Notamacropus eugenii: one gene and its partners. The protein of the gene in region 3 binds, or shares a complex with, the protein of the main gene of each other region. Links are inferred from orthologs where the notes say so. Each region holds a gene or a part of one and is shown on either strand. Other genes may lie near its edges. The genes, in order: CNOT8, CNOT1, CNOT9 and CNOT10.

Region 1 (7,868 bases), on a different chromosome or scaffold from region 3:
TGCCCCCTCCCCTTTCTGCTGGCCCCTTTGAAAAGGTTTGTTAGGGAATATTGTAGTAACTCTCATTATCAGCAAACCTTCTGAGAAGACTAGACTAGAGTAAAGGTGATTATTAACCCCTCTGACAGTGTCTGCCATTTTGACTGGATCAAGAGGTTGGAGTCCCAAAACTCCAGTGCCTCCCGTGCATTATTTGTGAAACAGTTTAAGAATGCGAAAGGATGGACTTATAACTCAGATAAACATTACAGAATGCTGAAGCCAGAAAGAATTTGAGGACACAGTTGATCAAAGTGAAACAAAAAGCGACCTTAGAGATGCCCTGATTCAACCACTTCATTTCACAGGGGAGAGAGTTGAGACCCACAGAGTGGAAGTGATCTGGTTTACCCATGGCAACACAGAAAGTTGAAAACCTGGGACTAGAACTCAGGTCTCTTGATCCTTGATGCTCTATTATGTCTATCTTAACACATTGCTTCTAGTTTTATTTAAAGTAGATCCTTTAAAGAAGAGCATTCCTTATAATTGAGTAGTAAAGATACGTACTTAGAAGATGTGCTATTTATGATATTTGTAGTGGAAAGAACTTATGTAGCAGAAGATTTGGATTTGAGTCCCAGATCTGAAACTTAGTAGTTCGCAAATCTCTCTCAGCATCATTTTCCTCATCTATAAAATGAAGGTAATACATTACCTATGCTAAAGATTGCTGTGAGGAAAGCTCTTAGTAAATTTTAAAGTTATTACAGAAACATGAGCTATTAATATATTATATATATATATATATATATATACACATATATATACACACACATATATATACATGTATATATATATAATATTGTGGAATAATATTTTAAGGGTTCCCATCAAAGAGCTATTAGACTCATTTCTCCCAAGGATACATCTAAACCTTGGTAACCTGAGGTCTGTGAACTTATTTTAAAAAATATTTTGATAACTGTATTTAAATATCCTTGTTTCCTTTGTAATTTCATGTATTTAAAAACATTATTCTGAGTAGAGATCCAAGATTTCATTAGACTGTGAAATGGGTCTGTGACATACAAAAGTTAAGAATTTAAGATCTAAATAGTTGTTTTTATGTGTGCATCAAAATGACTGTAACAAAATCTACTGCCTAACTGAAAAGAAAAAAAAAGACACTCCCACACTTACCAAAGAACAAGATATTTGTGAGTTTGTTTTTAATGTATCTAAAAATGTACAAGTAGTTCTGAGTGATGGGGCTGTAATGGAGGACAGTGAATTTTCTGTTTGATTGTCTCCCAAAGAAGGCTGTTAAATTGAGATTGCTGCAGCCAGCAGCCCAAAACAAAATAAAAGTCATAAGAAAGGGCTTGTTCCTCCTTGTAAATAGCCCTTGGCTGGCACAGACTAATTCATCTACTGAATCTTATTAAAGGTGAGCAAAAGATAATGTAACATCTATAGACCTGACTGGGGAAAGGGGAATGTTTCTCTGCCTGACACTCTAAAAGTTAAATTTCTCATTAAAGAAGTCTTTTCTATTATCCCCATAGGGAAAAAAATATGCAGACAATGGTGTGTGTGTGTGTGTGGTGTGTGTGTGAAGATCCTAAGAGCAACTAAGTTGAACATAGCTCCCTGTTGGTAAGAACAGAAATAAGGGCATGATGGCAATATTTTATGGTCAAACTTCTTTGACATTACAATTGTACAGGCTTTTTTTATATTACCACTCATAAGGCAATATGTTCCTAGGCTTTAAGATTAGAAATTGCCATTTGCAGTCTACTTTTCACCACTTGCATACATAATGTGTACATAGACTTATACTTTTATATATGTACAAAAATGTCCATATATATTACATATATGTAGACTCCTTGTGATTTTATATATTTTGCAACTGACATTTTTTGTTATGTGTACTTGATTTATTCAGTTATTAATTGCTGAAATATTGGTTTATGGGGGAAAAATATTTGAAATCAGGACTAACCTGGAAGATCTGAGATGGATGATCACTTTTGTCAGGAGGAACAGATGTAGGACTGAAGGAACTGACGCATTTTGATGGCCCACAGCTCTAAATAAAATACTGATGATCTAGGTCTAGTGCATTGTTCCAACCATTGTGGAGGCTGTTCGGGATCTGCTGTAGGTGCTGTGGTTTGGGACCTGTTCAGAAAGTTCGATTTGGAGACCTTCAGGGGCTTTTTGGGGTGGTCTAAGCTGGAATTTCTATAGAGAACATGCCCAAGAAATAAAAACCAGCCAGTATAAGCACTTTTGGTTCAGTGATTGATTGGTATGGAATTTCTTTGCTCTTCTCTGGATAAGGGTCTGGGGTGGGGTGGATTACAGAGAAAGTAGGTGGTCACAAATAGCTGGCAACATGATTCTTGGACTGATCCCGGAGTTTCACTGATAGGAGGTAGCCCTTTGGGGATGTTTTTCAATGCTCTGCCCAGTCTTCAAGTGAGTTGATTTTATTAAAGCAATGTCAGTGCTGGCACCTGTTCTCCAAACTGAAATTTGAAAATCCTGGTTAAAAACTGCTTAGGGTCTAGAACAGGACTGCACAACATATGGTCAAAGGCCAGTTGCAACCTGCCAAAGGATTTCAGGTGGCCCACAAAAAATGTAGGGAATGTGAAAGATAAAGATGTAACAAGTACTTTGTCCATGTGCCCCACTTAACCTGACTTCCACTAGTCACTACTGTGCCCATTATGTAACTTGGAAAGTGGGTTGCCACTGCATACTCTCTTCTATTTGTCATGAGACCCAGGGTAACCAACCATCATCAGTCTGTCTAGTCTGAGAGAAAGGGAGTCGTACCTTTTCACTATGTTTTCAGTCATTACTGGTGATGGGACAAAATGAGTGCAGCCATGAGCCAATGCAGCTAATGCCTGCTATGCAACGAGCGGCAATAACAAGGCGTTCTTCCCCTCCCTTGCTGTGCAGTCGCCCTGCAAGTTACACAAGTGTCTGGCGCTCTCTCCAAAGTCAGACACTCAGGTCAGTATTTCTTCATATGTGAGCAGTTGTGAAGTTTTGGTTGTAACATTAAAGTTTTTGGGGTGACTTTGTAAAATGGGTGATAAAAAGAAATGGAAGATCGAATCAGAATACAGAATGTTAATGTGGAGTGGGCAAATAGATAGTTTATTTACACAAGACAAAATATTGTGCCTTGTTTTCTGAGAAGTAATTGCTGTTCCAAAGGAATACAGTCTTCCTAGCCATTTTGAATGAAAACATCCTGACTTAAGCAAATTGGACACCAATGGAAAAAAAAATGAAAGCATACAAATTGTTGAAAAATCTCAGCGAGGAACAACAGTTTTTCAAGAAAGTAAACTCAGAAAGTGAAGCGGCTACTAAGGTTAGTTTTCAGATTCTAAAGAAATTGCTGCTGCTAGGAAGTCTTTTACTGAAGGTGACTTCATGAAGAAGTGTTTGCTGACTAGTTTTTGGATTATGTCCCGATTAAAAAAAAGTTTTTGAGAAACAGTTTAATCATTAATTATACCTTTACTTGGAAAATGAGCTGTTAAAAGCCTATTTGTGACCTAATGAAATTCAGCCTGTTTTAATTTTGGCCCTTACACACTGCCAAGTTGTGCAGGTCTGGTCTAGAATTCTAGTGCTTAGAAGGAATGAGGATAGTCTTATGGCCCTAATTGACTTAGAGCTTTGTTTTCTGTCTGAGGGCCCACAGTACGCTGACAAGCGGAGTCAATCCAGAGAAGGATGCCCTGGTTGAGAGACCTGGACCTTAGAACCAAGGCCCAGTCACAGTTACATTGCTATGGTAAATGTGCAGCATCCTGATCAGGGTTAACGGAAGGAGCTGAGGATGTCTGGATAGTAGAAAAGCCTTAAGGGGGCCCATGATGACCATCTTCCATCAGGGGTAAGAGATGAAATGTATTCAGCTACACCCACCCTGGGGAACAGAACTAGGTCCTAGCAAACGCTGGCTCACCCTGACGACGCGCTTCCCGAGCTCTCCACCAGACCAAGGCAGGGGTGAACTGTCCCTGCTCTCCAAGTCTTCACGTAGAGTCAGTCTCCCAAAGTGCACGAGGCTGTTGAGCTCTGAGCTTGGGGGTGGGCTGGAGGAGGGGGCTCTCATCAGAAGGCCCTCTATCCACGTTGTCCGAGTCTGTCACTTTCTTCGATCCAAGAGGAGAAAAAGCCGGGGTGGGGGAATAGCGCCATCTCCGTTGTCAAGGTAACGCTGCTTCTGGGTCTCGGCCCGGTTGGAAAGGTGTTCCCCTCGGCCGGCCCGACTCCTCGCCCCAGAAGCGTTCGCTGGAGAGCCACAGAAACCGCGGGAAGGTAATGGGTTTTCTGCGGTGTTTTTTTTCTAGGTGGGGGGCACCGAACCGAGTCCAGGAATCTGTCTTCCTGTGCAGGGACTAGGACGTTACTGGAAGAGGTGTCCATTCCTTAGCATTGCAACGGCAATAACGGTCATTCAAGGCCAGTAAAGCCAGGCGGGAAAAGGACCACGAGGGGCTCCCGCCGGAGGTGCGAGGCCACGCCCCGCCGCAGCGTAGTGGGCTCAGAGCCACGCCCCTCTCTGTCCTCGAGCCGGACGCCGGCGCTAGGCGGGAAGAGCTTCGTGGGGGTGTGGAGGGGATTATGACGAAATCTCCGGTCCTCGCGGCGCTTCTTCGCTGAAGAGGCGTCGGGCCTTGTCCTCCGCCAGCGTGCTCCAATGCCTACCCCTGCCACCCCACGCCCCGTCTTCTTACTCGCCATAGTTCCAGCGCGCCGGCCTCGTGGCCCTGCGCCTGCGCACACCTCCCTCGGAGAGCACGGGCTCGGCGACCCCGCGAGAGGTCGCTGGGGCGCGCGAGGGGGCGGAGCTGACATGACCGATCAGGCGCGCTCGCGTCCAGCGTGACGCAGAGGGATCTGGGAGGAGGCGAGGTCGGAAGACTGAGCAGGCTAGAGTAGCCGGGTCAGGAAGCGTGGGTGGGTGGTGCATAAGGTCCCGGTGCTATCTCGTTGTTGCGCTCGGTGCTGGGAGCAGATCCGGGGCAAGGGCTGCCGGCGCGAGGAAGGAGGCAGGCCGGGGGCAGCCTCTTCCTCCTACGCCGCCGCCCCCCGGGGAATCTGTCCGCCTGTCTGCGCACCCCTACGTCCGCCCGCTGCGGGCCCTGCAGGCCTAGGTGAGCGGGGCCGGGTCCCCTGCGCCTGAGGAGTCTGGAAGGGAAAGTGTAAAGTTAAAGCCGGAGAGTTGGGGGAGAAGGGAGCATTCATTGTCCGGAGGAGGAACGGGGGATGAAAGTTTGAGGTGTAGACCCTGAGGAAGGAGAGCCGCCTTGTTTACGCCCCTCTCACTCTCCTTAATTGTTACCATTCTCCACCTTTTCTCCATCTACCTGCGGCCAAAGCTGAACCTTGCCGTGGAGAAGCAAGCTGGTTAGGTGCCCATGCCAGCTCTGAGAGGGGCAGGGTTGGGGCTGCCTGGCACGGAAGCGTTGGCAGAAACTTTGTGTACGTGGTGGAGAGAATACCGCGGGCGTCCCAGTAGCCCCTTCTTGTTTAACAAACATATTCAACCGGCGGATCTGTTTCTCCTCCCCCCCCCCCCCGCATTTTTTATTTAACGTCCGTATCTTGGATAGCCTTGTCCATCAGTGGATGATTCCGGAGCTTGTGGATAGTTGTTTGCGTTGTTTAACCAGTGCCCGAACATGACTCATTCCTTTCCTTCTGTAGAAGGCGCGGATGGGCTGCAGTCTGCAGTGATAGGAAAAGGACACCCTGTGGTCTTGGACCCTTTCGTGTACTTATGTACTTAAGCAATGTCTTGATGGATTTATGTTTTCTATTTTTAGGCATAGGAAGCCTTTTGAAGAATGAATTCAGTTTTTAGTAATAGGCTTAGGGTGAGACTTGATCCTTGATGTCTTTGCTTTAAGGAACCTTTTAAAACTCGCATACTACTGCATTTCATAGATGTTGGTGTAGTAAATTATTTTCTTGGGTAAGATGCAGGAAACACTAAATGTAATTAATGACTAGAGATAACATTGAAAACCTCAGAACTTTTTTTCCTGAACTGGAGTTATAAAACAATAAGGGGCTGAGAACCGCAGCTATTCCTTCTTCCCCAATGAGCAGACCCCATTGGACCCCTTTTAAGTAGGTATGTGAGAGAGCCTGGTGATGTGGCTTCAGACGAAATGCTTTCTACTCTTCCATTCTTAAGCTTCCTCCCGGATTTGAGCGTCGAAACAAAGGCATTTTTAGTTGGACTACCTTGTGTTGCCTCTGTCCTTAAGTGACTTGTTCCAGGCTGTTCCAGCTGGCCCAGACAGTAGTTTAACTGTAATCGTTGAAGTGGAGTGATTGTGTATTGTTTCAGTTACTCTGGAGAAATAAGGCAGTGGATTAGTTTCTGCAAACGTGAAACTTTAACCTTAACATAGTCCTAATACAGAGCTGGATGATTGTGATGGTAAACTCTGTATAAACTTCAGCTGTTATCAATTATTATCCTCAAACAGTTCTGTAAAATCAGGGCAGATTTTGCTACTTTATTTTTATAGTTTAGGAAATTTAAGTCTGAGAGATTGTTGATTTGCCCGAAGTTATACAGATGGTATGTAGCAAAGCTAGAATTCTAACCCAGGTCCCATCTCCAAATCCAGTGTTCTTTCGATTATGCCATAAACTACTTGTTTCATCACGAGCACTAGTTAGAATCTGAACCTCTGTGTTAATTGACCTTGATTCTAGCAATTTGGTGCATCTCTCAGCAAATCAGACTGACTCTTTTTATCTCGCTTCATTTGTTCATTCAAGCTGTCTTTATTGAGTTCATGTTTTGGTGTGGGTACTGTGTAGTACTAGTGGTATTGGCGGAGCGGCTTTACGCTAAAGGAAGTAGAAATATCACCACCCCTAAGTAAGAGTATAACTAAATGGGAAGTCAGCACCTGACCAGGGAATGATTTAAGAGTTCCTTAAGAACATACAAGTATAAGATATTGGATAGCCTGTGCATGTAAGTGTTAGAAGGTTTTGTGTGGGAAAGGGAAGGGGCTAGCTAATTAGAGTCCACTGGGGTTAATCCTTGTATTCTTGAAGATTAATCTTGAACATCCATCTGTGGTGCTTCACAATGCAAACTTTTATTCTGATTCAAATCTCTACTGGAACACCTATCTAATTTAAATTTATAGAGTAAAAAAATCTTCCTGGACTTATTTTGGGTTAGTACTAATATAAATTTGGATGTTACTAGGCTAGGGACTTTGCCTATACACTGAAAGTTCTTTATAATGCTGCACTTGGATATGTGTATAAATCAGCTTTACAATAAAATATTTTTAGTACTTCTAATAATTGAATTCTATTGTGGACCTACTTTCAGATGACTATTGCAGTATAGTGATTGCAATATGGTGAATAGTGTTAGGTGAGATAATTTTTTTTAAGTTTTACTTATGTGTTTTTACATTATAAATATTTACAGATTATCCCACTCTATTAGCTATCTCTTGTAACAAAATAAAAGTAAATTAAATAAATAGTGACCTCACCTTAAAATAAATAAATAATAAAATACGTCGGAAATTGTATCATCCCCCCATATTTTTAAGTTGTTTTTCAGTGACAAGAAATCTATCTTCTCTTCCTCCTATTCCCCCACCCCACTGGAAAAAATAAAAATTTCTTTTAATCATATGATCAAACAAAATAAATTCCCTCATCTCCATACTATATATGTGTGTGTATGTATGTGTGTGTATGTATACACACACACACACACATATATATGTATACACATATAAAGAGATATACGTATAGAGACAAACTCAATTTTTTGTACTCTAAACCCATGTCAG
Region 2 (7,018 bases), on a different chromosome or scaffold from region 3:
CATACCCACTACATCCTTACCAACTTACAAATAATAACTTACTAACCTACAACTAAATTAGTTGTCTGGATGACAGAAAATGTTTAGCTGTGAGGCCTTCCTAAATACATCTGTGCAGATGTAAATGCTGCAAAAAGTAAAAACTGAGAATACATGGGTAAATTTCAGTTAGAAATTCTAACACTAAAAAAACTTTCCTGCAACTTGTTATAGATCCATTTAACATTTTAGGAGTCTTTTAGTAACTATGACAAGCACTGAAAGAACCCAGAAATATTTACTCTAGTTTTAAGCAGTAACTATATTATAGTCATAATAAAACTTCCTCACATTCCTGCTTTTCTTCAATTGCAGCAATTTGCTCAAAAATCCTTAGAAGTCTACTTATAATTACAAGCTTACTTACACAGAACATTGTTCAAAGGTCAAATTCAGTTTATTTGGTTTTACTTTAAAATATGAGGCACACTTGAGACCATGCAAATTTTAAAAAAAAGCGCCTCTATCACTTTTATCCTTAACCTTTGCTTTTTAAAAGTTAACCTCAGATTCAAGATTTAAGCAGAAAGAGCATTACTGGTTTTTCTATCTCCATAGCTGAGATTGATGTCTCAATAGGATGCCATTTTGAAGTTTCCCAGCAAGAACTTCAGACTAGTTTGAGGACTTAGAATAAGGTCAGGAATGCATAGTAAATGAAGAAATTTAGAATGTCAGTACATCAGTCAATACATTTTTTAAGGATTCCTGAAAAATCACATTTTATTCTATTACGATAAAAAATAAACTAAATTCCTGAAGAGGCCATTTTAAAATGGCAGCATACCACTTTTTACTTCCAGAAGTGCAAATATTTTTAAATGCTCAGTTTTGTTTTTAAAAAAAAAGTTGCCTAAAAGCATACTACTGATATTCTACCAAATAAATTTCCCTCTTTTGGAAAGAATGCTACAAATTTCCTGACTTCCTTACAGAATGACACCTTGTCTGAATTCTGGGAGGTCACAAATTTTAGGAAGTATAAAACTAGGCAATAAGATCCACAACTCAGTATCTGGCTTAAAAAAACTGTGATTACCTTAGAGAAAAAGACTATATTTTTAAATTTAGTCAAGGATATTGGGGGGAGGGAGGAAGTTAAGGGGCCACTTCATTTAAATTATATCTTAAATAACAGAAGATTTGGCATTTTCAAGATGCTGAAAAAATTCAAGGTCTTCTATCTGAAGCTGAAAGGTTGGGAGTGAAGACAACAACTTGAGCTACCCCTTGCAGATGGTTCCACCGTGGTGCCTAAAGCTTATTAAACTTCTTCTGAAGAGTCTAGGACCCAAAACGTTGTTGCCAAAAGGCCTGCATGTTCAAGTCAGTTTTACCAAAATGCTTGCGTTAGAGCTGAGATACTCCACAAAGGTCTAAAGCCTCCTGGAGCTGCAAAGAAGTAGTTTCATTCTCTCAGAAAAACAATGTAACAAGTACCAGTCTCCGGAAAGGGGAGCCATTAACAGTAACATTAACCCTCTGCTAAGTCTTTGCAAGATAAATAATTCTCACCCGAATCACAAAAACTGTCAGTTTTAATGTTCTAAGTTTTTGTATCCTCACTCACTGTAACCAAAGTATCCAACGTTTCTCCAGCAGCCTAAGGACGTCTCCGTAAGCAGAGAAAAGGGGCTGTCACTCAGACCCAAGGGGAGAGGGTCCCGGGGGTTCTGAGACTCCCCTTCCCTGGTTCACTTATTACAAGAACGGGGGGGAGCTCCCCAGCAATGGGGTTGAGGCTCCTTTTCCCTCCGATCGATGACAAGCAGTTTTGTTTCCCCTTTCTGCTTTTCCTCCTGTTCCCCGGGCCTGGCACACAGTAGGCGGACCTGACGGCCGGGCCCTCACTAAGCGCTGGCTGCTTTCTCTACTACCAAAGGCGAAGTCCAGGCAGAGACCGGAAGGGCTGGCACACAGCAGGCACTTGGTGCCAGGGGACTTGGCTGCTAAGGAGCAAGGGCTGGGGGCGGCCTCAGGCACTGGCACCCAGTAGGCCCTTTGGGGAGCGCCGTCCCCTCGGAGCCGCGTCCAGGGGAGGCTCCGGCCGCACCGAGGCCTACAAGTGTCCCGCCCGCAGGGGGCGGCACGTGTGAGTGTGTTTGTGTGTGTTTGTGTGAGTGCGCGTCCGCGCGCGCGTGGACGTGGGGACGCGCGGCTGTCGCGGAGAACCAGCTGGGGGCCGCCCTCCTCTCCAGGGGAAGCCGGCCCCACGGGGCCCCCGGCGCTGACAGCGTGCGCGGCGCGGCGGGGCGGCGGCGCGGCCCGGCCCAGGCCTCGGCCCCCCGGCTCTCCAGCCCCGGGGCCTTCCCGCCGGTCCCCGAGCGGGGGAGGAGCGGGCCGGGTCCCGGGCCCTCCCCTCCCCACCCGCCTCCCTCCGCGGCCCGGGAAGAGGCGCCTCCGATGGCCACGGGACGCCCCCCCCCACACCTCGCTCCCCTCCCCCAGCCCGCGTCCGCGTTCCGGAGCTGACGCTGCGGGCGACTCTCCGGGCCCCCCCTACGGCCGGGCTCACCTCAGGCGGCTCCGGGGGCGCTGGACACAGGCAGGCTCCTGGGTCCCGGGCTCTCCCTCTCCTCGTCCCTCCTCCCCCTCCTCTCTCTCTCTCTTTCTCTCTCTCGCTCGCTCTCTCTTCTCTCTCCTCTCTCCTCTCTCCCTCTCGCTCACTCCCTTTCTCTCTCTCTCTCTCTCTCTCTCTCTCTCTCTCTTTCCTCTCTCTCTCTTTCCTCTCTCTCCCTCTCTCTCTTCTTCGGTTAACTCCGCTTGTTTCTCGACAAAATGGCGCCGGAGGTCGCGCGCTCACGTCGCGGCCTTTCCCCTCCCCGTTTCCATTTCACCATTCGCTGCCTGCTCGGGGCGGGAGGTCCTGGAACTGGACCAATCACGATTCCAGACCTGTGACTTCTATCCAATCAGTGATCCGGGACCGCGGATTTAAACCAATCACATGCTATCACTCGAGGAAAGTAAGGAAGAAGCCCGGCTCTTTCTATCAACCACCAATCCAAACTAATCTTTCGCGGGCCTTGGCCAATGGCCGCTCACCGGTCCCTCGGGAGCTGGAGTCAGGCCGCTCGCGCCTGCGCTCGTGAATCGGGCCAATGAGAGTATGTCTATGCTTCGATTTGAGGCTTCTCGAACATCCCGCCTGCTCTCGAGAGCTTTGACCAATAGGATCGCGGCGTTGCATCCCTGAGCAACAATAAATGAAGAGGAAGGGAGCCGAGGGGGACGTGGGGAGAATAAAATGCCCACAGGCGGGAATTTCTTTTGCACCCATAGGATTTTTCTCCCCTCCCTTCTTTCGAGAGTAACACAGCTCAGAGGTCCCCCATTCAAGAGATCAAAGTGACAGTCTGGATTCCCCGCTTTCTCTTCTCTTGAAGTCATGAGGGCCATCCCCACTCCCGAGCTACCCCATTACAAATACCTCCTTTTGACTGCCCCCCATCTCCGGACTACATTTCCCATTATGCAACGCAGCCTCGGGCGAGGGAGGGTGGAGGAACGAACGCTTGCGCGTTGCATTTTGGGATACGTAGTTTCCCCAGAGGTTAAAAGTTGTAGGGGGAGTAGTCTTTGGAGCGAGGCATGCTGGGAGCTGTAGTCCGTTGTGCTTTACACCTGGCCTTTAAAGAGAAAGGTTCCAGGAGGCTGCCCTAGTTTACCTGTCTTCCCCATATCCTGTCTAGGTGGAGTCTCCTCCTTGTAAAGCGACCCCTAAACATCCTCAGAAATACCAACTGAGAGAGCTAGACCTTGCAAATCAGCCAGTCAAAGCCTCTTGTTTTCCAAAAGGGGACCTGTCCAAAGTCACCAGACTGGGAAGGATCCTTTGCCTTTGGGATGCCAAAGCTGGAAAGGACTTCAGAGACACACACACACACACACCCAATCCAAGTCAATTCAACAAGTCCCCTTATTCCACAGAGGAGTAAACGGAGCTTAGGTGACCTGGCCATGGGAGGTAGCCAGAGTTAAGATGTAGACCCCAAATCCAGGGCTCTTTCCTTGACCCTCTTCCAGCTCCTCTGCAAAGCCGGCCTCCAGAGGAGCACTTGTTAGGAGCACTCCCACCTGCCCCAACATCATCCCCAGCAGAGAATGGCTCTGTCCCAGGAGACTCTCCGCCCAGCACCCCACCCCTAACCCCACTCCCAAAGTCCCTTTTGCACAGGCTCCAGGTACAATCTCTTCTTTATCCATCTTCTCTGGGGAAGACTCATGAAAGGTGGCTGTCCACCCAGTCACTCCTCCCATTGTTTTGTTTTAAGCGTTTCTTTTGCTTGGAAACAATAATAATAATAGCAGTTTGTATGGGACTTTGAAATTTACAAAACACTCTACAAATGTAATCTCATCGGATCCTCGCAGCAGCCCTGGGATGTAGGTGCTGTTCTCATCTCCAGGTTACAGTTGAAGAAACTGAGGCAGAAAAGGGGTGAAGTCACCCAGCCAGGAAACATCTGAGGCTGGATTTGAACTCCAGGTCCAGCGTCCTATATGATGAGCCAGAGAGACAAGCATTTCTGAAATAGGGAAGCCGGATTAGCATTCATTGACATTCACTGACAACTCATAGTTCTAGGGTACACCATCATGGCTTCAACAAATGGTTATGACTCCATGATGCTCATCATGGGGCAGAGGCAAGAGTCAGTACTCAGGCACTTATTACACACTTCCTGTGTACTAGGCATTAGCTAAGGGTAGAGGATACAAACAAAGGTAGGAACTCCCTTTTCTATGGAGTTCCCATTCCAATGGGAGAGATCTCATGTAAAGAACCAGAAGACAGATAGTGAGGAGATGGAATGAAATCCCAGAGGAGGAGACACCAGCAGCCTGGAGGGTGGGGGAAAACCTCCTGCAGAGGGTGGGATTTGAGTCATCTGAAAAGAAGAGGCAGAAGCGAGGAGTGAGAGACAGCACAGAGGTCCAGAGAAAGGGGATGGACCGGCTTCTCTAAGGGACAGCAAGAAGCTTACTGGAACTAGCTCGTTGGCTGCATGAAGCCACCAAGAATTATCAGAGCCCCCCAAAAATAACCTTGTTATTTAATCAATTAGTTGTGTCCAACTCTTTGAGACCTCATTTGGGGTTTTCTTGGCAAAGATACTTGAGTGGTTTGCCACGTCCTTCTCCAGAAATTTTACAGATGAGAAAACTGAAGCAAACAGTGTTGTAACTTGCTCAGGATCACATAGCTAGTGTCAGATTGAATTTGAGCCTAGATCCTGACTCCAGGGCCAGTATGCTAGCTACTGTACCACTGCCCCACCCACCCACTGCACTACCTAGCTGCCAGTTTGTAAAGGGTTTTAAATGGCAGAATGTGACACCCAGTCTTCGAAAGCTAGAGCAATGGAACACAAGTTATGGGAAGTTCTACTAAGATGCAAAGGTTTCTAGTTGAGCCCTAGGATGGATAGTAGCTATTGTCCAAGAACCAGCCTAGCTAAGTAGAATAATGCTCATCTCCAGCTAGGTGATAACCAACTAAGTAATGAATTCTTTGACCGTGGTGTATGCATACTATGAGCAAAGCATTGTACTAATTTCCTAAGGGGTGTCTTACCCTACTAATGGACTGTGGACTCCAAGAAAACAGAAACCTGGAATCTCAGCTTTGTATTGCCTAGCTAGCAACTAGCATGGTGTTGTGCACACTGCAGCTGTTCAATAAATATCTGTTGAATGTTGTTTTTATTGCCTGTCCTTTGTTCTAAAAGAGGGCCATGACAGAATGAGTGGATGGATAGATGGATAAACTAAATAGTTGAGAGGATAAGACATATTTGTTTAATAAAGATTTAAGTAACTGAAGAAGAGACTGTGTAGGGGAATGGAACCTAGAAGAATAAGGCAAGGTCCCTGCCCTCAGGGAACACAGAGCTTGGTAGAGCATAGGGAATAATCAGATGTTAGTTTAAATCAGACCCCATACATGGCTTCCAAGTGCCAACAGATGACAAATATTGACCAAAGTTGGATCCCCTTTATAAAAGCAGGAGTATAAATTATAATTTGCTACAACACAAAGAAGGTGAGATAAGTTTCAGGGGGAAAGGGTCTAAACCAAGGGTGGGTAGCCTGTCCCCCCTTAATAAAAGGATTTGTCAAAAGGACCTAGAAGGCTGCAAGTTCCCCACCCCTGGATGCTAAACTATGATGAGATTTCATAAGAAGACAAGAAAACCTAGGAAGTCTTCATAGAGAAGATGGCATTTAAGCTGGCTGGGTGGGTCCTTGAAGAATGGGAAGGATTTTAGCAAGAAGTGATAGAAATGTAGAGGGGAAGAGGGATGGTATTCCATGCATATGGGTGGAAAGACATGAGCAAAGTCTCTGAGGCAGGAGGGAGTGAAATACATTGAAGGCACCCAGCTATGGACACAGGCAACTCTATTACAACAAAAAATGAAACAGACAAAAGAATAATAATATCTGGAACGTATAGAATGCATTAAGGTTGCAAAGCGCTTTACTTACGTTTTCTCATTTGACCCTCATAACAACCCAGAGAGGTAGATGCTATGATTATCCCCATTTTACAGATGAGGAAACTGAGTCACACAGAGGCTAAGTGACTCATTCAGGCTCACACTCACTAAGTGTTTCAGATAGCATTCAAATTCAAATTCCAGACTCCAGATCTTTAGTTCCATTCACTTTGCCCCCTACCTGCTTAATGATAATTTTATGATAGGCATCATAAAAGTGGTGTCCACATCCCTCTTACATCCTATGTGAAAGAAGAACATAATCTGGTATCAGCTTAACTAAAACCCTATACTTTGATTCTAAGTGTCAGTATATAAAAAATATTGACTGAACTTGGATCCCTTCTGTGGAAACTTGAAATTCAAGAAGTTTAAATGCAATCGCTACCTGGATACTAATGACTGATGGTGTATGGGAGATTTAGGTGCAAGCAGCACTGAGCCAGCAATAGGAGGGGAAGCAGGCTGCCTATATT
Region 3 (7,060 bases):
CAATATATACCTACCTGTAAGAGAGCTGCAATAGTACCAAAAGAGTGCCACAACATAGGAGCAAGGTCAGGAACAGATTCACGCTTTTTACTCAGCTCCAGGAGAGCATTTTCCCTTGTCTCCGGACTGGATAGCTCATTGATCCACTGATAGATCTTCTCTCTATCCACTTGGGCCAATGCTGTGGGCACAGGCTTAAAGGGCAAGAGCATACACAGAAATGAAGTTTCATTAATGTCCAGCTGTACATAAGAAACAAACTTAGATGCACGTGATTCAATACTTGAGTTGAAGGGAAGTGTCAACTGGCTGATGGGAATTATAACTGTTAGAGCAGTAGTATGACCTGGGCAAAGTCACTTCTCAGAATCCTCATCTGTGAAATGGGAGAATGAGAGGTTTGAAAAAAATGATTTCTAAGGTGCCATCTAGCTATAACATTCTAAACTATTTCTGATACCTATGTCTACCAGAGGTAGGCTACTGACACCATTTTATAGGTGTGGAAACATAGGACTTAAGAGTGAAACTGATTTACTCTGAAGCAAAATTAAGTCAGTGATAGACTTTGAAAAGATATACTTTTAGACTCCCATCTATTCCTTTCCTGTTGGGGTCCCCTAGACCATTTCGGGAATCCCTAAACCCCGACCCAAGGCTCTTGTCCAGCAAGAGGCCTTGATCTAGTGAATAATGAAATGAGGTGGGAGACAAGGTGGTGAGAACTCCGTTTATTCCAGCTAGTTCACATGCATATATAGTCTTAATTACGTGAACATTCCTAAGCCTATACATTGAACCTATCACCTAACATTATTCCTTATATGGGTATCTTCTCCACTGGACATCCGGAACTGGACAAAGAACTGCCACGTTGCCAAAAAAGACGAGACCCTTCCTCCTGAAATCCATCTAGTTCCACCCCTACTGACAAGCCCCCAGGTTATCTAGGCAGGCTCTCAGTGTGGAGTCCTGCGATGGACAGGGGTCAGCTCTAATTCGTCCCGTTACAACTCCCCCTTTTTGTTTTGGTACAGTTGTTCTTTCATAGCCAGCACGGTATGCTTAGTGGAGAAGAGGGAATTACGAATTGTTAACAATATCCACTTTAATAATATTGGTATAATAGCAACTAATATAAGCAATGTTAGTAATCCTGATCCCAATGAAATTAGCCAAGTTTTTAGTGAGTGCCAGGGATCAGCATGTTGGAAAAAATCTAAGATATGTTGAACAGTTTTTTGTGGAAGTAGGTCTTCATGGGAAGCCTGACTGATATATTCTGCCAATTGAATCAATTGTTGGAGCTCTGAGGTCACATTATCATTGACTACACCTTGTAATTGAGCCCGAATCTTTTCCCATGCTATTTCAGTTGCATCATATTGTTTTGGAGTAAGACAAAAAGTATTATACCTATAATCACATTGTAACTTTGCTTGTAATTCTAGATATGCAACTTCATGTCCCAAGAACAGTACTGCTTTCTGTAAAGCACGAACAGCATTGTAAAATTCCTTATCCATTTGAGCCTGACATTGAAATCCTTCTGAGACATTGCGCATGAGACCATGAAGAGCACTCGCTTCTTGGACACTATTCTGCGTGTTAGAGACAGACATTGCGAGAGCAGTAGAACTAACAATTAGCTCAACTAATAAGGTTATACCTAACACTACACATGAGATACATCTTTTGAATCACATCAAACTTGCTGTCTTTTGATCTAATACTGACATAATATTGTCAGCCGGAGTGCGATACCATCCTTGTGTTTTCACTACTGTGAGTGCATACTTTGGCCTAGTAATGATGTAAAGCCTTCCTTTATCAAATTGTGGCCCTATGCATTCATGTACCGAACAATTCGGACAAGTTAAATTGAATATCCCTGTCATATTCATATGTGGCACGAGTGTAGACTGACTTGTACGATCCCACATAAAGGCATGAGATGATCCTAAACACACTCGCGCCGTAAGACTAATACGGTTTGTAATTATAGTACCATTTGGTGCTACAATTATAAATGGTCCTACAAAACCTTATACTGTCTGTCCCCCAATAGTGGCAATCACCCGTTCAATCCCTGCTGTATAAGAACCCTTGTTAGTAACATATCTAGGACTAGGATATCCTGAGACATAGCGATCTGGCCCAAAATACGATAGGTTGTGACAGGAAATAAGGCTCTTATTATAATGCTCTAAGAATAACACAGTCTGTTGACATTGATGTGACTGACAATCTTCAAATGGTACAAAACCTGAATAATTACAATAAATGGAGACATTGGGATCATCCCTCTTTCCACGTTGTGGCCCAAATCTAAAAATCACTTCTCATTTTTGTCCCATGTCTCGTGCCCCATCCATTTTTGTACAATATGGTCTATATCTCAAACTTATTTCTCGTTTTAGATCCATATCTTGTCCCTCAATGACCCAAGTCCATAGGTGAAAGAGTCTAGAGTCCCCTCGATAACCCAAAGTCTCATGTCCCAGAGTTATGTTTGCACACCATGTCATATCGGCCGCTATATCATTAAAAACCCATGCAGTGCCATTCCATCGTCCATCAACCTTCTTTTGAAGACAGAGCGGTAATCCTGTGATCAATCTAGTAAAGTTCATTCTTGGCTGTGAACCATTTGATTTACCTATAAATTCAAAGCCTGCACCCCCAAACATGTGTGACAAACTGCCATGTAATACTGGTGTTGGTATCTTTTCACCCCATCTTATGACCCTCACCCACGGAGGATTCGGGATGAACGCCCAGTGATGTGCATTCCCACTTGTCTCCTGGGTCGGAGTTGGACGTCCTCCAGCCCCAAGAGTCAGTAAGAGAAACAGAATCAACCTCCTCATTTTGAAGACAAAGACTCCTTATTTGTTCTTCCAGCTTCTTTCTCCGCTTTGCTGCTCTCAGTCTCTTGCCCTGTGATTTTCTTCCCATTGTCTCTTTCTTCTATCAGCCGAAGCCTGCGTACTGGGACCCACTGTTCTTTCTCTTTTCCTGTGGAAATACAAGCATAACTCTTTCCCCATATGATTATTTTTCCCGGACCATGCCATTGTCCTTCTGCATCACGCCACATTGCCGGTTTTCCTTCATTCTCTATTTGTGTTTTTTCTAGAAGTGAAGTTCCTCTTGATGTTTTTATAGCAATAGCATATTTCATGGCTGCTGAAAGATTCTTATCATTGAACTTTAAATAATTTAATGTGTATAAGGCTAAATTGAGAGATGCCTGATGGCCTTGTGTAATTCCCCCTTTTTGTTTTTTGCAAGTAAACCTTGAGGGAACGATTTGCCCTTTCAACAATGGCTTGGCCTGTAGGGTTATAAGGAATGCCAGTAACATGATAGATGGAAAATTCATAGCAGAATTTTTTAAATGCAGCTGATATATAGGCTGGGCCATTATCTGTTTTTAAACATTTTGGCACTCCATGATTAGCAAAACATGCTAGTAAGTGAGTTGTCACATCTTTGACTGCTTCACCAGAGCGAGCAGTTGCCATAAGAAAGCCTGAAAAAGTATCTATACATACATGTATATATTGAGAACATCCAAATGATGAATAGTGAGTGACATCCATCTGCCAAATATCATTTGGGCAGTCACCTATAGGATTTTTTGAGTATATAGGTGGTGGTGGAAGAAATGGAGCACATTGGGTGCACGCCTTTACAATCTGCCTTGCTTCCCTTTTTGTTATGCCAAATAAATGTCTAAGAGATCATGCAGACAAATGAGATTTGGAATGAGCTAATATTGGAGATGACTCCGCATGAAAAACTTGCAAGGCTTCATCAGCAATTGCATTGCCTTCAGTTAAGGGACCTGGTAAATTAGAATGTGATCGAATATGTAAAACATGGAATTTATTAAATCTACCTCTAATAGCCTTTTGTGCTTCTAAAGTAAGATGTGTGATAGAATCCTGACGTGTAGGAATATAGGCAGTCTCTAAATTGGGTATTAACCCTGATACATATTTACTATCTGTGATAATATTAATAGGGACATCAATTAAAAGAGCTTGAAGCACAGCAAACAGTTCATTTTGTTGAGTAGAGGTAAATGATGTCTCAAACACTTGTAACCTCTTTTCAGATGGTATGTATAAAGATGCTCGTTGATGTTTTGTGGCATCTGTAAAAACACTGATCCCTACTACAGGCGACTCAGAATGCTTGTCTGACCAAGACCATGGCCATGCAGTGAGTTGATCAGCAAATGGCACAGGACCGCCATGATGATAATCCTGTCCAATTATAATTTGCCAATCTGAATCTTCCATAAAACATTTTTCTAATTGTTGAGAGGTATAGGAAGTAAAAATACTTGCAGGGTCCATACCACTAAGAGCTCGTGCCCTCTGTATGCCTTTCCAAATCACCTTAGCCACTAGGTTTGTATAAGGAGAACATGTTCTGTTTTTTACCTGTGGTAAATGAATCCACTCAAGGATTCCTAATTGCTGATGTAAAACCCCAGTTGGTAAGTTTGGAGTGAAAAGTATAGTTAAATTTATTTTCTCTCTCTTATCACATCTTTGAGTAGTTTGTTGTATGAGAGTATTTTGAATATTCTTAATACATGTAAGAGCTTCAGGGGTCCAATCCCTACTTGAATTAAGGTCAGGAGAGCCTTTCAATAATTCATATAGTGGTGCTAATGCAGAGGTACAGATACCAAGCCTTGGCCTGCACCACTGAATCTTTCCTATCAGTTTTTGGAAATCATTCAGAGTTTTGACCTTTTGTACATCAAAATTTGGAAACTTAACTTGAATCTCTCTGTCTGATAACTTATATCCTAAGTAATTAATTGGTAGAGCCTTCTGTATTTTTTCTGGTGCTACCTGTAGCCCATGCTTGCTAAGAGTTTGTATCCCTTCCTGTAACATATTTTCTAGCAGTTCACCATCTCTGTGTGCTGCCAAAATATCATCCATGTAATGTATTATTATGGCCTCCTTATATTTCTCTCTCATAAGTTGAAGCACTTTATGCACATACCATTGGCACAATGTAGGACTATTCTTCATACCTTGTGGCAGTACTTTCCATTGATACCTCATATAGGGTTCCTGTGAATTGATGGAAGGTATGGAGAAAGCAAATCTCTGTCGATCCAGAGGATGAATAGGAATACTGTAAAAACAATCTTTAATGTCTATAACCTATATTTTATAATCTTTTGGTATCATATTTGGTGAAGGAAGTCCTGGTTGTAATGAACCCAATAGTAAGCATGGATGCATTAACTTTTCTTAGGTCTGTTAACATTCTCCATTTTTCTGATCTCTTTTTAATAGCAAACACAGGTGAATTCCAAGAACTGAAAGATTCCTCTATATGTCCTAAACTAAGTTGTTCTTTGACAATCTCCTTTAAGGCTGCTATTTTATCATCAGTCAAGGCCCACTGGTCAACCCAAATTGGTTCATCATCGATCCATTGTAATTGTGGAACAGGTATGGGTTGTGCAGCCATTTCAGGGGGCCCCACTAAAAATTTTCTATTGTAGATATGGTAAGGCCTATTTGTGACAACAGATCTCGACCCCATAGAATGACTGGGAGTCCTGGTAATACATGTGGCCAAACCTTTCCTGTTTTTCCTTCAAATTCCCATCTCAACGGCCGTTTTGCTTCAACCGCTGCCTGAACACCTCCTATACCATATAAATTTTGTGTTTGCCCTACAGGCCATGCAGAATTCCACTGCTCTAAAGGAAAGACTGTACAATCAGCCCCAGTGTCCATGAGGCCTGTACATCTCCTCCCTTCTATAATGACTGTAAGTTATGGCCTCTCCAGAGTAATTTGCTGTGTTAAGAATACTTGCGAATCTGCCATTTTTGGAAATAGTAATAACACTGCTATTTTTTGTCCTGCATCTAATAAACTCTCCATATTAGTAGTATTCATCATTGGAATATATTGAAACTTGATATCAGGTGGAAATATATGTGTTATGGGTATCATGCCTGTATATTCATGAGTTGTGGGTGCTAACAATATTCCTATGCTATCTGGTTTAAGCTTAATTTTTTCCTGTATGGGAAGCATGACTGTACTCATTGGATTAATAGAAAAATATCCAGCACTATGTAGGTCCTCTATTTGAAAGAATGTATTCCTGCCAATTCCTGATATCTCTGGTGGAGTGCCATCGTGCTGGCATTGGGATTGTCCTGCCATTGGCTGGCAGAGGGCGGTAGAAAGCCCATTCCTCCCCTTTGTTCCTGGGCTGGGGAGGGGCCCGTTAGGGTGTTTAAATATTGCTGAGGTGGGCCATTATGACATTCTGATGCCCAATGCCCCGGTTTTCTACATTTTGGGCAGGGTGTCTTGGGTCTTGCTCCCCCACTTTGTATCGGCCTTACTTTGGAATCCTTTTTGAAATGTCCCAACTTGCCACATTGAAAGCATTTTTTGTCTGGTTTTTCAGTCGGCCTATTTTTTACATCATGAAATGCCTGGGCTCAAACTTGTGCAGCATAGACCTCACTACCCACTATCTCACATCTTTGTAACATCTCTTCCAACCCAGCATCCTTTTTCAATCCTGTCATGGCCTTTTTGCAGTCTGTATTACAACTGTTTCTCAAGATATCTTTGATTACAACTACAGTCCCTTCTACTTCCCCCATGATCTTTGTCACAGCATCTTGAACTCTTGCACAAAAGTCGGCGAAAGGCTCACTGGGTTTTTGCTTTAAGGCACTCAATGAAGTTTTACTTTTGCCTTTAACTGGCAACTTGTCATAAGCCCTCTCTACACATTGTGCAAGCCGCTCATATAATTCCACAGGGTGCTGAATTTGTGCCCTATCTGTGCTATACTGTCCACCACCGAATAACATCTCATAATATCTTTGAGCATTTTGAGGGTTATCAGGATTATGGTGTACTGCCATTAATCTGCATTCTTCAGAAAACATCCCTAACCATACTACCATCTCTCCTGGCATGAGGATGGCCCTCATAACAAGCTTGCAGTCATTGGGGGTAAGTACATGTGAGGCCAAATCTTTAATCCT
Region 4 (7,684 bases), on a different chromosome or scaffold from region 3:
ACTTTTGAAACAACTCAAGGTTACCCATTATCACCACAAAGACACATGCTTTTCTATCACTTGAACAGCAACACTGTTTCAATGGCTGTTAATAAAGCATGCTTGGTAGTACAATGCAATGCTTTTCATCGTGTGTCCAGCACTCACACGCAAGGATTCCCTGGAGTCAGGAGAAAGCTCTGTATGTGCACATGCTCTTGGCCCTCTCCTCCTGTCACCTCCAGCAGGTTACAACCTCCATCTTTCTCAAATCTTCAACCTCTTCCTATTTTACTGATTCCTTTCAACTGACTTCAAATATGCCCAAGTCTTCCAAAGTTTAAAAACAGATGGATTTGTAGGTTCTAGTGAACGCATCTGTTTAAAAACAGATGCGTTCACTAGAACCTACAATGTCCTACATATCTGTTCCTCTTCCCAGCTCCATTTTGGGTATCTCCACTTCTCTCACCCTCTACAGCCTGTACTCAAACTACTCTCTCTCTAGTTACCAAGGATCTCTTAATAACCAAATATGTGCATCTTTCTTCAATCCTGCTTCTTAACCTACCTCTGATACTGTCAATCATTAGCTCCTCCTGGATGGACACTGGCTGCTCCTCAGTCTCCTTGGCTGGCTCTCCATTCACACCACACAACCTGGGAATGTGCCCCAAGGTTCTGTCCTAGGCTTCTTATCAACTGACATGGGTTCAGTTATCATATCTACTCAAATAACTCAGATCTAAAAATCAGTCCCCGTTCCTAATGAGGTTCAATTCAATATTACCAACTGGACATTTCAAACTGGACATCCCAGGTATCATTCAATGTCTCTCCCTCTCCCCCAATGCATCCCTCCCTCTTCCAGATACCCCTACACCAGCCTTCTTGACGGATTGATTTTAACAGTCTTCCAAATTCAGCATTAGCCTCAATGCCTTCCTCCCCTCACCTCATGTATCCCATCAGTCACTTCCATGAATGCCACATTATTTGTAGGCCATTCTCTCTCTTCGAAGCCAACACCTTAGTTCAGGACCTCAACTCCAGTCATCTTTTTTGGGTCATGGACCCCTTTGGCTATCTGGTGAAACCTATGGACCCATCTCAGAAAAGAAATTTTTTTTAAATACCAAAAATAAAATACAATAATAAAAGAAGCATTTGAATTTTTATATATTTGTATACTGCTTCAAAAAAGTTGCTTTAAAAAAAAGCCACAGACTACGAGTTCGGACCCCTTAATCTAGATTGCTGCAGCTCAGTTCAGGTCACTGGAGACCCCTATGCCCCAGTGAGTTTCCTTAAATGCGGTTCTGAGCGTGTCAATCGCCCATCAGACTCCAGTGGGGGCAAAGACCAAGTCCCCAACCTGATCCCAACCTATCTTTCCAGCCTCACTGAATGTTTACTCCCTCTTCCCCCCTGCAATCCATCCTCACCCACAACACTGTTCTAGGTCACCTGCCCCCAGACTTGGGACGCAAGCCTCTCCTAATCCGCAAAAAGCTGGGGCACCACCATCCGCTTGCACCCTGCATCTCCGTCATCTCAGGCACAGGAAGGCATGCTCCTGGCAACAAGAGGCTGTCTCAGCCCCAGGGCCCGGAACAGGCATCTAAATGCTTGTGGGCAGAAGAACCAACACGGCCAATTTGAATACAGAATACTGCCCCAAAGTGCTGTGAAAGGGCCTTCCTTGCCAAGGGTGCTGGATGGTGACAGTTCCAAAAGGGGCAGGCAGGAGGAACTGAATTAGGGATGGAGTGGAGAGCAGGGCTCCGAAGCCTTGGCACAGGCGGGGCGCTCACTAGGTATATCTCATTCTTTACTCCTGACAATGGACCACCGAGGTCCTTCTGATCACGGCTGTAGGGTGAGCGTCGACAGCACTGTGGGATGGGGCTAGCCCAGAGCAGGGCCCCGGCGCTGGGCACACAGTGTGGGGGGACCGGGCGCAAAAGGGGGGGGGGCCGGGCTCACAGTGGGGGGGGCCGGGCGCACAGTGCGGGGGGGCCGGGCGCACAGTGGGGGGGCCGGCACCCAGTGGGGGGGGCCGGGCACCCAGTGGAGGGAGCCGGGCACACAGTGTGGGGGGACCGGGCGCAAAAGGGGGGGGGCCGGGCTCACAGTGGGGGGGCCAGGCGCACAGTGGGGGGGGCCGGGCACCCAGTGGAGGGAGCCGGGCACACAGTGTGGGGGGACCGGGCGCAAAAGGGGGGGGGCCGGCACCCAGTGGGGCGGCCGGGCGCACAGTGGGGGCTTAGCCAAGGCAGCCTTCAGAAGGATGGATCGAGCTCCAAAGCCACGAGCAGGGAAGGCATCGCTGGGACTTCTGAGAGCCCCCTCCTCATTTCACATAAGAGGAAACGGAGTCTGAGACCCGCCCACCTCCCCAACATTGACCAGGACAGGAGGCCACACAGGCCTCCGTCCCCCAAGGTCACAGTGGCAAGGGGCCTCCGGAGGAGAGAACTGAGGCCCAGAGGAGGCGGTGCCTTCGGCGGGGTCACCGAGGGGCGGCTGAACCCCGGTCAGGCGGGGAAGAGAAGCGGGGAACTGTGGACTCGGCGGGCGCGACGCGCCCGAGGACGGGACTGCTGCGCATGCGACTTCCTCGCCGCGCATGGATCCCGTCCTTCCCTCGCGCATGCGCAGTCACCGCCGCACCGAAGCTAGAACACTCATATTCCTCCGCCGCGCGCGCCCCAGAGCGCTGGGCCGAACCCTCCTCACCTGCGGCCTTGTCCGCTGCCATCTTCCCCGCCCGCTTCACGCGCCTCCCGGCCAGCGGCGCAGCCGGGACTCCGGCGGGGGCGACCGCCGACTCGCTGCGGTGCCAGCCTTCGCGGGCCTCGCCGCGGCCCTGGCGGGAGCGCGGACCAGCGGCCACAAGCCCTAGGCCGCTCCCGCAGCGGGATGATTGCTTTTCTGTTGGCGCCTGTGCGAAGACCTCCCGCCATCCACCGCCGGCAGCCGCCCCTCCCCCTTTCCTGACACGCGACTTCCGGGTGCTTCGCGCGCGGCGGAGATGGGGGCGGGGCGAGAGGAGAGGTCGCGGGAGGGGCGGGGCGAGCGTGGGAACGGCGGGCGAGACCACGCCTCGTGGTGCTTACGTCAGAGACGGCGGGCTCCCCCGACCACGTGACCACGTCCCCCAGGCCCCGCCTCGGACAGAGGAGGGGGTGGCTCTGGGCGCTGCCCCTGCGGGATGAGCTTGGCTGGACTTAACGTTCTGATGACGGTGACTGACCGCCTTCGCTGGCGGCTTCCCGGGGCCTACCCCGCCCGGAGAGGGCGCTCCCGGAGGGCCGAGGCCTTTCCTACTCTCTGTGTCTCGTCCCCCGCGCCCGCGGGCACTTAAGAAGCGCTCTTTCGTGTCTTCCACGGACTGTGGATGGGGATGACTGGGGCGAGCTTCCAGTCTCTGCAGTGGGGTCCCCTGGGACGTCAGACCCCGGTGGGGTGGGGGGCCGCGGGTCTGTCCGGGAGAGTCCCCGGGAGCGCCCTCTCGGCGGGGAAGCCTCGCCGTGTCCACGTTACCAGCCACCTTTCCATCTGGCTGGGTCACGGAGCGAGGGCTAAAGCAGCGCCTCCGGGAGACCCCTGGGGGGCCTGGGCGCCCCAAACTCCTTCCTACGTGCAGACCCTCCGGGGATCCTTCTGGAGAAGGGCCTGAGGAGGGGCGGGGACCATCAGTGTTTGTTCTGAGAGCTTCGCATCCCGGCGTACGCGCACCCCAAAGTCCGGGGCTGAGCTGGGGGGGCAGGATCAGCCCGCAGGAGGAGAAGCAGCGAGCCTTAGAGCTGGGACCCCAGGGGGGCCGGGGCCCCGCGGCGGCTTCTCGGGGTGATGCCAGGTCAGTGGCGGCGGACCCTCGGCTGACCAGTCGTTCATCACGCCGTCTGTCCCTATTGCGAAGCGCCGTTTCCTGTACGAAGTACCGTAAAGTGGGACGATGGGTACCATGGCCCCAGAAGTATGCTTAGACACAGAATTATTTACAATTTTAAGTACGTTTTTTGTCCCCGATGCGCTTGAAATACGATAGCCATGATGAGCACGCAGTATCGCTGCCAATAAAGTAAATGAACCTTCCCTCTACCTTTGTGAAGTGGTGGCTGCTGGGAGAGGGAGGAGAGGGAGGAAGAAGAGGGAGGGCTGCTGCTTGGAAGGAGAGGAGTGTTCTCTCTTAAGGTGCTCTCACCGAAAGTAAGGCTACCATGACTGCCTTCGTTTAATTTTCACTGATTTTTCTTTAGATCGGCTTCCGACTAGGACTCTATCTTACGATACTTCTTGTTTTTTGGGGGGCTGCGGTGGAATAAAGATAGCTGCTTTGAGTTGAAATTGTATTTTTAAAAAGTGATTAAAGGAAAAAAAAACCAAAACCACATTAGCTGAGCGCCATCCCTTTGTGAGCTGTTCAAGTCCAAACATGATGTCCGTACTGCAAACTTTTGTTCGTCCTGCAAGACAAATTTTGCGAAAAACTTTTCCTTGTCCAGCAAAGCATACATAAACTAGGTTACTCGCAAACTGAGGTTCTGTATTTGTCTTTTATATAGTATTAGACTTTGCAAGGTGGATAAGCCTGGTACTGTGGAGAAACCATTGGCTCAGCAGTCCTGAGTTCGAATCCCATCTGTCACTTGCTTTGATTTTGAACACCTCACTTCATCTCTGGGGCTTGACAAATGAGACAAGTTGGACCTGCTGACCTCATAGTCCCTTCTGCCTCTAAATCTGTAAGTACACTCGTAAATGTGGTCTGCAGACTTTAATCATTACAAGTTCTTTTTCGGTAGCATTTTTTCATGCAGGATTTCATCTGATCCTCACAACAATCCTGTGACAAGTATTATTACTTCCACTTTACAAGAGAGGAAAGTGAGGATGAGAAAGGAAGTGACTTGTCTAGAGTCACATATCTGAGAAACCAGAATCCAAATGCTCTTGGTTTCCATGAGGCCACACAGAGCAGAAGGTGAGATAATAGATGTGAAGTGTTTGGCAGACTTTAAAGCCATATCCAAACATTACTTAGTATTATGACTCTTTCCTCATTACATTAGCACAAAGATGTTCAGGCTCCTTCCATAGCATGTATTAGTGGTGTGAGAATTGTGATAAAAGCTCCCAGAATCATGGAAGCCGAGGAGGCCGGCGTTGAATCACTTGAGATTGAAACTGACAGTCTTCCCCTGGTGGCATCAGCTCTAGCTTGTCTTTGGCAATCTGTGCTCCAAACTGAAAAAGCCTGAGAATTTGCAATCCCCAACCGAGCTCTGCCATGTCAAGACACTGAAATAAATGTAAAGTTTCTTGAGGTAACTCCCCCACTTCATGTGAATGTAAGTGCTCTGTTGGTTTTTAAATTTCCATTTTTGTAGCTCCATGGTACGTCACAGGTGGATTTTCCCATGGAAGCAGCATCATAAGCCAAGCTACTGATATTACCCATTGTTCTAACTGTAGAACTGTAGGCCCTTCACTCCGTCCCTCCAAATCTCAGTTTCCCCATCATTAAAGCAAGGACAACAATAATACTCAAGTCACATCCACAGCACTTTGAAAACTGAAGCCTTTGGGACATGCTTAACCATTATTACCCTCCTGATAACCCTTTGCCCTCTTGGAGATGTTTTCTTACCAGATTTGTGATTTGACTCACATGGGGGCTTGGTAATGAAGAAAGATCCCTTCTCAATGTAGGTCAGCACCCTCCCGCTTCAGAGTGACCCGAGACACTGTTAAATTAAGGGGCTTGCCTGGCCAGGGTCACGGAGTCAGTGTGCTTCCCAAAGGAGTGACGACCTCCAGGCTTCTTGACTCTGAAGTTGGGGCGCCCTCTACTTCTCCACTCTGCTCCTCTTTGTCTCGGAGAAAAAAAGATCTCCAAAGGTCTCCTATCAGGTTCCCCTTGCAATGTTTGGGGTAATTTTTTTTGCATCCTCAGTGATCATTATTACTATGATGTGGTAGACAAATGTAAAGTGCTATATTGTTGGAACTATAACAGCGAGGCCCAAGTTCAAATTTTGAGTTCAAATCCAGCCTCAGATACTTCCTAGCTGTGTGACCTTGGGCAAGTCACTTAACCCTGTTTGCCTCAGTTTTCTCATCTGTAAAATAAGCTGGAGAAAGAAATGGCAAACCACTCCAGGATCTTTGCTAAGAAAACCCGCAAAGGGGCCATGAAGAGTTGGACATGACTAAAATGACTGAACTTATGATCAGGAGCATTTATTAAGCTCCTGCTATGTGCTGGACACTGTGCTATTTTCTTGGAATACAAAAACCACAATGAAACAGCCCTCGGCATTAAAAAGCTTTAATTCTATGAAACTTAGGATTCTTCCCTCTGCATTGACTACATAGCAGGTACCACCTGTCATTTTATATGCTGAGCAGCCTTCTTTTTAGTAGCTTGCTGGAGCCCCCTGCTGGGGTTGTTTCCACATGAGAAAAGAAACGGGAATAAAAGCCTCAAATTCAGAACTGAATTCGAATTCAGAACGTTCCAGGTCATCTTAGGTTTACCAGGTTCACATGTAATGTGACCCCTCCCCACCTGCAGCGTGAGTGTTGGGGGAGGGGCGCTGACTTCCAGCTGTCGACTTGGCTGCCAGACTGGAGCCCTGTTAAAAAAAGAGAGACAGTCTCTCTCTGCCCTTCAATAAACAGTGTGTGATTCCAGTGAGGGTAATGATGGGTATGGAGGGGCACCACTTCAACTCAACTAGTCTAGTTTATCCCTAGTCAGGATTCCTGGCTGCCTTTTCCTTCCTCTTATGTGTTTCTTATGTACCCAGGTGGCCAAGCAAGAACATTCTGAGTCTCCAAAGGGCAGAAGGTCTTCCTTGTAGGGCTGCACCATCCCCAGAGTAGAAGTGGAGAGCAGGGCTGAGAGAGCCCACTGGGAAAGAAAATCGAGCTTGGTTGTTTGGTTGGAATAAATGCCAGACAAAATGTAATGTAGCTAACTAGATTCCGGCAAAAGAAAAAAAAAGCTCTGTTCAATGCCAACGTATTTGAATATTAAGCTGACTATGCTTCTAGAAATAAGTTAAATTAGTGAATTCTACTCAAATCTTTTTGCTACTGCATACTTTGGTTCCTTTAAATTCAACCTTCCTTTTTTTGTGAGTAGGAATAAATCACCTGCCTTATCCCTTCATGTTTGCACATTGGGAACCTCTTAGACCTTGGAGCTGAAACGATTCATTTGATTGACACCTTTCCATGCAGTAGCCATGGTTGGGACTTATGAGCCAAGAAATGTGAGAATGGGGAGCCTGCTTCCCCACCCCTACCCCCAGGAAGTCAGGCTTCCCCAGGACCAGTGAGGAATGAAGGTTCCTGCCCCCATGGCTTCAGCTGAGCAGATTAGGTACAGGTGAGGAAAGTGAGGCCCGGGAGAAGAACCTGCCCAGGTTCACATAGTTAGTAAGCCACCCAGTTGCTCCTTCGATTCAGAAACCACTGCCCTTTCTTCCTAATATCTGTTCTTCTACATGCACCTGTAATGTTGACATGTGAAGACAGGTGAGCACACAGAGCTCTCACCACCAAAAAAGTTCTTACGTGAATCTTCCGAGAGGCCCTCCATGTCCCTGTTTATTAGCACTTTCTACCAGCAGAGGGCACAAATAGAACTAAGTTAAAACTAGGTTTGATGATATTAGCTCCCTAAAAATAT

The links.
Region 1: CNOT9 (region 3) and CNOT8 share a complex: the UniProt entries of both Homo sapiens proteins name them as parts of the CCR4-NOT complex. The link is inferred for Notamacropus eugenii from reciprocal best matches to the Homo sapiens genes CNOT9 and CNOT8.
Region 2: the proteins of CNOT9 (region 3) and CNOT1 are in contact, whole or in part, in a crystal structure (PDB 4CRU), measured with the Homo sapiens proteins. The link is inferred for Notamacropus eugenii from reciprocal best matches to the Homo sapiens genes CNOT9 and CNOT1. Residues at the interface, in NP_005435.1 of Homo sapiens: Arg19, Glu20, Tyr23, Ile26, Asn27, Ser30, Ser31, Pro32, Arg35, Pro54, Met55, Trp57, His58, Ser59, Phe60, Gly61, Ile63, Ala64, Ala65, Leu67, Gln68, Val71, Asn72, Tyr74, Pro75, Ser76, Ile77, Asn78, Pro79, Thr81; in NP_057368.3 of Homo sapiens: Ile1415, Ala1416, Thr1418, Thr1419, Gln1422, Ile1423, Lys1426, Asp1427, Phe1428, Met1444, Asn1447, Leu1448, Gly1451, Met1452, Met1454, Ile1455, Arg1458, Glu1459, Tyr1548, Gln1549, Arg1552, Met1553, Pro1554, Gln1556, Ile1557, Leu1559, Val1564, Lys1567, Gln1568, Leu1569.
Region 4: CNOT9 (region 3) and CNOT10 share a complex: the UniProt entries of both Homo sapiens proteins name them as parts of the CCR4-NOT complex. The link is inferred for Notamacropus eugenii from reciprocal best matches to the Homo sapiens genes CNOT9 and CNOT10.

The regions. Positions count from the first base shown.
Region 1 is NC_092872.1:383,230,875-383,238,742, forward strand, and holds the start of CNOT8 (CCR4-NOT transcription complex subunit 8), read left to right. Parts: upstream 1-4,849; 5' UTR 4,850-4,938; exon of another isoform or gene 4,939-5,180; intron 5,181-7,868. Other genes in the region: FAXDC2 (fatty acid hydroxylase domain-containing protein 2), read right to left, coding at 3,986-4,135. UniProt on the Homo sapiens protein: Has 3'-5' poly(A) exoribonuclease activity for synthetic poly(A) RNA substrate. Its function seems to be partially redundant with that of CNOT7.
Region 2 is NC_092872.1:715,395,950-715,402,967, reverse strand, and holds the start of CNOT1 (CCR4-NOT transcription complex subunit 1), read right to left. Parts: upstream 3,018-7,018; 5' UTR 2,555-3,017; intron 1-2,554.
Region 3 is NC_092877.1:317,094,511-317,101,570, reverse strand, and holds the start of CNOT9 (CCR4-NOT transcription complex subunit 9), read right to left. Parts: upstream 3,004-7,060; 5' UTR 2,871-3,003; coding exon 2,754-2,870; intron 195-2,753; coding exon 15-194; intron 1-14. UniProt on the Homo sapiens protein: Component of the CCR4-NOT complex which is one of the major cellular mRNA deadenylases and is linked to various cellular processes including bulk mRNA degradation, miRNA-mediated repression, translational repression during translational initiation and general transcription regulation.
Region 4 is NC_092874.1:22,783,876-22,791,559, forward strand, and holds the start of CNOT10 (CCR4-NOT transcription complex subunit 10), read right to left. Parts: upstream 3,008-7,684; 5' UTR 2,946-3,007; coding exon 2,719-2,945; intron 1-2,718. UniProt on the Homo sapiens protein: Component of the CCR4-NOT complex which is one of the major cellular mRNA deadenylases and is linked to various cellular processes including bulk mRNA degradation, miRNA-mediated repression, translational repression during translational initiation and general transcription regulation.